Linked DNA regions of Macaca fascicularis. The protein of the gene in region 1 interacts with the protein of each later gene in a pairwise test. Links are inferred from orthologs where the notes say so. Each region holds a gene or a part of one and is shown on either strand. Other genes may lie near its edges. The genes, in order: TNFAIP3 and YWHAH.

What was found.
Region 2: the proteins of TNFAIP3 (region 1) and YWHAH interact in a two-hybrid assay, tested with the Homo sapiens proteins (2 studies listed by BioGRID). The link is inferred for Macaca fascicularis from reciprocal best matches to the Homo sapiens genes TNFAIP3 and YWHAH.

The regions. Positions count from the first base shown.
Region 1 is NC_088378.1:41,910,803-41,914,613, forward strand, and holds part of TNFAIP3 (tumor necrosis factor alpha-induced protein 3), read left to right. Parts: intron 1-350; exon of another isoform or gene 351-626; intron 627-727; coding exon 728-1,037; intron 1,038-3,811. UniProt on the Homo sapiens protein: Ubiquitin-editing enzyme that contains both ubiquitin ligase and deubiquitinase activities.
Region 2 is NC_088384.1:19,679,927-19,684,324, reverse strand, and holds the start of YWHAH (14-3-3 protein eta), read left to right. Parts: upstream 1-1,502; 5' UTR 1,503-1,695; coding exon 1,696-1,782; intron 1,783-2,660; exon of another isoform or gene 2,661-2,869; intron 2,870-2,996; exon of another isoform or gene 2,997-3,023; intron 3,024-4,376; exon of another isoform or gene 4,377-4,398. UniProt on the Homo sapiens protein: Adapter protein implicated in the regulation of a large spectrum of both general and specialized signaling pathways. Binds to a large number of partners, usually by recognition of a phosphoserine or phosphothreonine motif.

The DNA.
Region 1 (3,811 bases):
GACTGCTCTTAAAATTACAAAGTATCTTGGTGGAAATGGGCTTTTTTATTGATTAGAAAACATTCGGTTTTAACTCTTTATAAACATTAGAATAAACTTTATGAATACACACTTTATAAATACTTCTCTTTGGGAATAAAGAGGAAACACCAGCCAGCAGCCTAAGTGACAGCATAAAATTGCAAGATTTTTCATAAAGTATTTTACTGTCCTTCCAGCATAGGGGAGGGAGTGATAACTCAAGATTTGGCCCAAGAGTAGGATTGCCTGGTGGTGGTCTGAGGGGAGGAGCTACAGACTTGTCAGGGCTATGTTGAGCCCTTAACTGGCATCCGGTACTCCCCAAATCCAGCGCTGTTCAGCGTGGCCTCAGAATGAAACAGGAGCTTACGTTGGTTTTGAGGAGCAGTACCTGTTGCTGTCAGACAGGGTTGGCTCCCTGACAAAAGTTACTGAAAACACGGGTTATTCCCCTCCTCCTCAGTACCCACTCTCTGCCTTCCTTCTCCTGTTTAGGCTAATCTTTTCAAGTGATGTAACTTAAAACAGTCCAGTGTGAGTTAATCTCTGGGGCCAGCTAGTATCCCGGGAGTAGAGGTGCTAAGATCTTTTGCCTACAGATCAGGGTAATGACAAGATCAAACACTGGGGTTTCCTGCAGGCAGCTATATAGGAGTCGTATTAAAGTTAGGCTAATGGAATGGCTTTTTTTTCCTTTCCTTTTCAGGTGTTGGAGAGCACAATGGCTGAACAAGTCCTTCCTCAGGCTTTGTATTTGAGCAATATGCGGAAAGCTGTGAAGATACGGGAGAGAACTCCAGAAGATATTTTTAAACCTACTAATGGGATCATTCATCATTTTAAAACCATGCACCGATACACACTGGAAATGTTCAGAACTTGCCAGTTTTGTCCTCAGTTTCGGGAGATCATCCACAAAGCCCTCATCGACAAAAACATCCAGGCTTCCCTGGAAAGCCAGAAGAAACTCAACTGGTGTCGAGAAGTCAGGAAGCTTGTGGCGCTGAAAACGAACGGTAAAACTTGATCTGTTGTGCTTCTTTTGCCTGGGTGATAGCTCCCGCCTGCTGGGTCCCCATTCAAGCTTTACTAGCACAAGCCCAAGCTCAAATCAGTCTTGAGATTTAGTATTGAGACCTTAGTATAGAATCTCTATTCGGGGCATGTGATAATAGCAGACTTGTTTTGTGAATCTATTTATTAAGGATATTTTCTGATTGCGTATATTGCAGAGCACATTGAGGCTTGGAGAATGCATTTGTAAACACCATACCCCGATTAGGCAATTTGTTTCTCATTCTTGCAAATGTTTAATCATCTGTAAAATACCCTTCACTGGCCCGTAATGGAAATGTTACAAGCCTTTAAGTTCAAAAGGAAAGCATGGTGTGAAAACTGGTAGTACATTTGTTTCCCACTGTCATTAGAAAATGCTTGTGATGTTCTTACACTTCTTGAATTGGTAGCATTTTATGGGTTAACCAGTGAATGGCTGTTGAAGACATGAAGAACTTCGTTTGTCTCCTCCTCCTCTCTGACCTAGGTTCTATTGCCTATGCCCTGCAAGGTGAAATAGATAGCTGAAATTTTTAGCATGAATTTTAGACTTCACCTTCATTATTTTTAGGGGTTCTTAGTCACTGAATTCCTTCCTGTCTGTGCTGTTCTGCCAATGGCCTTTACCACTAGTAGCTATTTCCTATTCCAAGCTTTACTGTTTTGTTTTTTAATCATTTCCCTTGGGTAAGAATATGTGCATTAACAGGAATGTCAGAGCATACTGCTCCATGCAGGCACAAAATTCTACTCTATGGATGTGGATAATTATGACAATAAGCAAGTAGACTGTACAAGATCAATTAAATGCTCATAGTCTACATAAGAGCAGGAATCTCAGGTCCTTATATCTGTGACAGTCCCAAGCCATCCTAATAGAAATAATATGTCCAAGGGAAGAAAATCCTTGTTGACAATGATTACGATAAGAACACTAACTTAATTAACTTCATTGGTACATTAACTTTGGCTTTTTTTGACTTGGGTAACTTAGAGTGATTAGTGGACATGGGTTTTTAAATTTTGATTCTGGGGACTCTTGTACATTACCCCAACATCTTGCCTAGACTTATGAAACACTGATTCTTAGAAACATACATAGAAAGAAAACTGGGGATGGCTACTGTCTGCATTGTTCTTGGCATTAAATAAAGTGATACATAGAGGTAGGTAATTATGTGAAGTCATCATCACGGGGTTTATGTGCCTGACAATTTGTGGTTTTAATCCTCTCCCATTTGTTACCAAAAAGAGATGGAGTCAACTCTGGGGGAGTTAGAAACAAAGATTCTGCTGAATTAAAAATGTGGTAGAAAGGGGAAAACCTTATTAAGAGAATTAACTGACTTTTTGCTTTATTTCCTTAAGAAAGGAAATGCTCTATTTCCACTAGGAAAAAAAAAGGAATATAAATAGGAAACACTTATTTTGCAAATATGTCATTTAAATCAACAAGGAGCCACACTAGAAATAAAACTACAAAAGCAGGTGTATTTGTGTAACATTTTCTGGGAAATCATTTTTGGACTCAGAATCCTTTTGTTTCTTCACTTTCAAGAAAACTCCTTAAGATTCTAAAAAACGAAGAAAAGATATTTAGGGAGGGGAGGAAAACAAATGACTTTTTAAATTTGATTTTGATTAGCACCTTTTAAAAAAAATTAATCCTTCCCTTGATAGGAGGGTTCTTCAAAGGCAATATCTGTTTGGGGAGGGGGTGATTCACAAGTTTGCATTTGAGGATATGAGACTGTGGTGAATGAGGAAGGGAGTAGGTGGCATAAAATTGAAACTTCATGTGAAAAATTCCAGCGTCTATTGGCTGCAGCGATTTCACTTGTATAATGAGTAGCCCTATTCCAGCTCACCCTGACCACACCCACTTGGAAAGTCCAGGGTGCACTTCGCAGTTTAAATGTCTACACACCAGAACAAAAAGTACAATAGCTGTTGCTCAATTGCTAGTCAAATAACTTAGCACTGGGGAATTCCAGATGTTACTTAGGGAATTTTATACTGGTGCATCTCAATAAAGAACTGAAAGTAAGCACAAGAAGAAAAAAAGCCTTATCTTTGCTCTAGATTTTGCAAAGGGGAAATTTCAACAGAATGCAATCATTGCTACACGTCTGCCAAGACACAAGGCTTGGGTGATCTTTTTTGTTCATTTGTTTGAATACTTAGCTAGTTTTTCTAAATGTATAAATTGAAGGAATACTGGCTGTGGATATATATTTGAGGTTTTTTGGTTTCTTTACAGTTTGACTATAATTACAATTTGATAAAATTTCAAATAACTTTATTGCCCTACTTATAGAGTAATATAAGAAACAGTTTAACTTTTCTTTATAAAAAGTATTTTGCACTTGCCAAAGGAGATTAAGGAGTTAACGTTTTTTGTTTTAAACATTCCCCCAAAAGATTTATTGTTTGGGGGTTGAAAAAAATGCAGCCCATTGAATTGTGAGTTTTAAACTGGAAATGTCACAAATTAATGGCATACAATTAAACTTGTTTTTTGTTTTTTGTTTTTTTCTCAAAATGTCAGCCTTAAACACTGAATTATTTTCAAATTTAGACACCCAGGTGCTTTTTAACTTTTGTACTTTACAGTTACTAACAAGCAGGTTTGCATAAGGCATTTTTGAGAGCCGGACTAGCAGGCCATAGGTAATTCAGTGTTGTCAACGCCACTTTACACACCAGGAGAGGAAACTCCCAGGGCCCAAAGGCT
Region 2 (4,398 bases), on another chromosome or scaffold:
TATTCTTTAGTCCTTGAAACAGTTAAGTCTAATTCTCCAGATGGAAAACAAGTCCAGAAACGGCCTAGTCTCCAGTTCCCTCCCTTCTCCTTTCAAACACGTCTTACTCTCTAGAGCAAGATTCCAGGCCTGAAATATGGCTTCTCAATTACCTAAGGATGAAGCCTCAAATCTTCCACCTGGCATTTAAAACATTCCGTAATCTTGTTTTACCCAACCTCACTTCCCATTGTTAGGCCTCTCTTCTCACCATCTCCCAGGTCACTGCCAAGCCTTTGCCCATGCTGTACCCCAGGCCTTAATCTCTTTCCTGACTCTACTCCAAGATCCAGCTTATCCCTGCGGGCTGAGCATGCAGTAGATGCTCAGTAAATTCTCAGCGAGCCCAAGGCCCCTTCTCCTACACTGCCTTTGGCATGTTGGAAGTCAGTTGGGGCCCTGTTTTAAGCATTATATTCCTAGCTTGTCGGGCAGCCCAGCCCAGGGCCTGGCACAAGGAACCCTCAGTATCCAATGCCAGCCAGGATTGGGAGGGGCTCAGTGACCAGCCAGTTGGGCCACCCCAGCTCTTTGCCACAAGAGGAAGTCCAGCCTGGGTTTGGACTCAGATCCTGGCCCCACCACTTAACAGGCTGTGTAAACTTGAGCAAGTCACTACCTTGCTTTTCCTCAGGTTCCACATTTTAAATATGGGGAGACCAGCTGTGTCCACGTGGGCTGGGTAGTGAGGATTAAAGAGGAGAATGCTCGTACGGGACTAGCCCTGGGCTGGTTCCTAATGTGTCCTGAATATTACTTGTCTCGGCCTGGTCATCCAGTCCCCTCTGGTGGAAGGCACAAGCCTGCCCAAGGCTATGTCTCAGGATGTGTGCGACTGCATGTGTCTGTGTGTGTGGCGGGGCCGTCCCCGAGGGTCGGACTCGATTCTGCCCGGACCAGTGCAGACCCAAGCACAGGGTGTGGCCTAGCAGAACCCACGGACAGGCAGGGCTCGGGGCGGGCGGGACGGCTGGGGCGGGGCGGGGCGGGGCTGGGCTGACCCGCCCCTTGGGGCACGCGGCCTCCCGGCTTCTCCGCGGGTAGGTTTGCTTGCTTTTGGGGCCCTTCTCAAACCACATCGCTAACGTGGTTGAAGTGGTGCGTTTCAGGGTGGCGCTATGACAATGCACTCCCCGTGCAGCCGCCATCACCGCGCCGCCTCCTCCGGCTCCGCAGTCTCCTGCCTGGCTTTCCCTTCTCCACCTCCATCTCTGCGGCGGTAAAATGCAGCACTCGCAGAGCGCCTGCGCGGCTTTCAAGCGGGGCGGCGGCGGCGGTGGCTATTTATAGTAGGTGACGTCACCTTGAAATAGACCGTTAGGGCCGGCCCGCCCTTCCCCCCTCCCACTCCCGCCGCTCCCCGCCGCCCGGCCTGGCCACTCTCACTGCGCAGGCGTCGTTTCGTCCTCCCATCCCCCAGCGCGACCGCCTCTCCTCCCTCGGCGGTGTCCGCGGCGCGAGCCACAGCGCGCGGGGCGAGCCAGCGAGAGGGCGCGAGCGGCGGCGCTGCCTGCAGCCTGCAGCCTCCGGGTCGGCCGGCGAGCCAGTGCGCGTGCGCGGCGGCGGCCTCCGCAGCGACCGGGGAGCGGACTGACCGGCGGGCGGGCAAGCGAGCCAGCGGCGTGAGGCGCGAAGCGAGGCCGAGCCGCGAGCGACATGGGGGACCGGGAGCAGCTGCTGCAGCGGGCGCGGTTGGCCGAGCAGGCGGAGCGCTACGACGACATGGCCTCCGCCATGAAGGCGGTGAGCGCGCCGGGAGCCCAGGCGGCTGGCCGGGGAGGCCTGGCTTTGGGGAGGGACGGGGATGGCCGCGGGCGGCGTTCCCCTCCCGGCCATGGGCGACCCCACGACCCGGCTGGGCGTGGCCGCCCGCGCTTCCCGCTCCCGCTGGGCGCCCCGCCACTTCCTGAGGCTGGGCCCGGGCTGGGGGATCCGGGAGGGTGCATCTCGGGGTCGCGGCGGCAGCCCCGTTGGGGGCGGGCGGGCCGGGGTCGCCACATCTTAGTTCGGATCCCGGGCGGGGGCAAAGGGTGCCCTAGGGGTCGTGAAGGAGCCACATTCCTCCTACTAGCGCGTTTCACCGGACCCGGGGGCCCCCCCTCTCGTCTTCCTCCGTTCCCCAACTTGGAATAAAGAATCACCTAGTGAGTGGCGCCCTGTCTCAGCTGGTTTTCTCTGCTACGTCCTGAAGTCTGTAATTCCGATCTGTTTTGCTCTGCTTGTTCGAATTGTTCTGGTTTCATCTTCCCACTCCTGGGGGTCTGGCTTTGTGTGCGAAGACCCCTTTCCTGCAGTCTAGGCGTGGACGAGGGCGAGAGAGGGGGCGGAGGGTGTGGGGCCCATCACAGCCCCAGGTTTGCTGCTGCGCTGTCTGCCTGGAGATTAAAATGAAACGTGACTTCTAGGTGAGACTAATCTGTGTGCCTTTGCATTCCCGAGACCCTTATAAATCGATTCTGCAGCTTCTTCTCCGGTGGAGGAGTCGTGCCCAGCCACACCCTAGCAAAATACCGTGGGTCACACACCACCTGCATTTCTGAGTTCCGGTTACCATCTCACTCACTCTTCACGTTCTTTTACGTTTTCTCTAAATGAGTATTTCCTCTCACTGTGTCAAGGTCACACAGTGATAGAACTACAGCTGCGGCCACCATCCTGCTATGTTCAGTGTACAACCTCCTGAGACCTGGGAGGAGCCCCTTGAACCCCGCCTTAGACCTACAGATGCAGAAATTCGGGGGTGAGACTCATATCTGCATCGTAACCAGCTCTCACAGGCGATTTTTAGCTGGCTTAAGTCTGAGAATTACTGCCCATGACTATAGTAAATGTATCCTTTGCTGGCCTTTTGGAGGGAGTTGCGAAAAAACTGCAAATACAAAGGCTCCCTAAAATCTTAAGTCATTTGGAAAGCTCATTTGAAGGCTGTTGACCTTAATGTCAGACAAAATATGTAGTTGGGGCTAATATTTAGGATTGTTCAGGTAAGAAAGGTACTTGAAGAGTTGCCTTTCCTGTGGTGTCCTTGTTACACACAACTGGGTGTGTTTGGAGACCAGCCACACTGTTGCCCGTATGTTGATTTGTGGGTGATCTTGACTTCAGCACTATTAGCATGCTGTTTTGGTGAGGCAGGAGGTTTTCTTCCAAACCGGGGGGGGCCGTCTAGGTCTGGAGGCTGAACTTCATGTAATTCAGGGGGTCCTTTAAAAGAAAATCTAAAATATAATTTTTGCATATTGTACAGAAATGGGGCTGACTGAATGCATTTCCTTGGAAGGGATCCCGAACCTTAATTTTCTTTGGGATACAGCTGCCTCTGTCCACAGCAGGTCACACTTAAAACTCTCCTCCCCAGTTACTGAGTGGTGCTGGGATTATGCAGGCTGAGGCCTCGCCACACATTTTCATGAAGTGGTTGCTCACCCTCTTAAGTGAGACGTAAAGACTGCAGTGTTAGGAGCCCTTTGGGAAATAAATGTGAAAAGAAAGGAGGGACAAGGTTTAAATGAAGGGGAATGGAGGTGAAGGAAAAATGGCTAGAAGGTGCGTTCTGAAACAATCAGAAACCTGAAGCAACTTGAAATGGGGGAAAAAGGCAAGAATGGAGAGATGTTACCAGAACAAAATCTAGTTTGAGTAGAGAAAAAGATTGGCTTTCTAGTAGGCTTGTAAAATGCTTTCCTGCAGCTAGCTACTAGTGTCCATAGATCTTCTCTGGAGGGTTAAGGTAGCCTTTTGTAAACCAAAGGAATCTATAATATCTATATTTGAAATAATGAGTTGGAAAAGCCAGCCAGCATTGAAGAGTCAATCCAAGCTTTAATTCTGCCATCTCAGAATTGTGATAAACCATTTCTCCTCCATCATCTCAATGTAATATATTGTGCTTATAGATATTTTCTTTAAAAGAAAAATAATATGTTGGAAAGGACTGGCAGGAGTCACTTTCCCTGCTAAATTGGTGTTTGTAGATTAAATTCTTAATGTTACTGGGATGACTCAGTCTCTATTTTATTAATCTCTTTTGGAAAAGGTGTAAATTTCAGTAACCCTCTGGGTTTACCTGGGCTTTGTTCAGAGCTGTGGAGGTAAGTAGCCTGTTGTAGGGAGGATGGAGCAGGACACCTGTGTTGAGGATATATTCTGATGCCACCACTCTGTAACCTTGAAACTTAATCTTGGCTTTAGGTCCTCTGAAGTATAAAAGTAGTGATGTTATTAACAAGTCAGTTTTGCCTTCGGTCTTCTAACTTGCTTTCTGTTTCCTTCACAATTAAAATGCTCACCTGATAATACTGCCTTCCTGTAATGATTGATGTTCCTTATTCTACCAGCGTCACCTGGAGGACAGTGTTG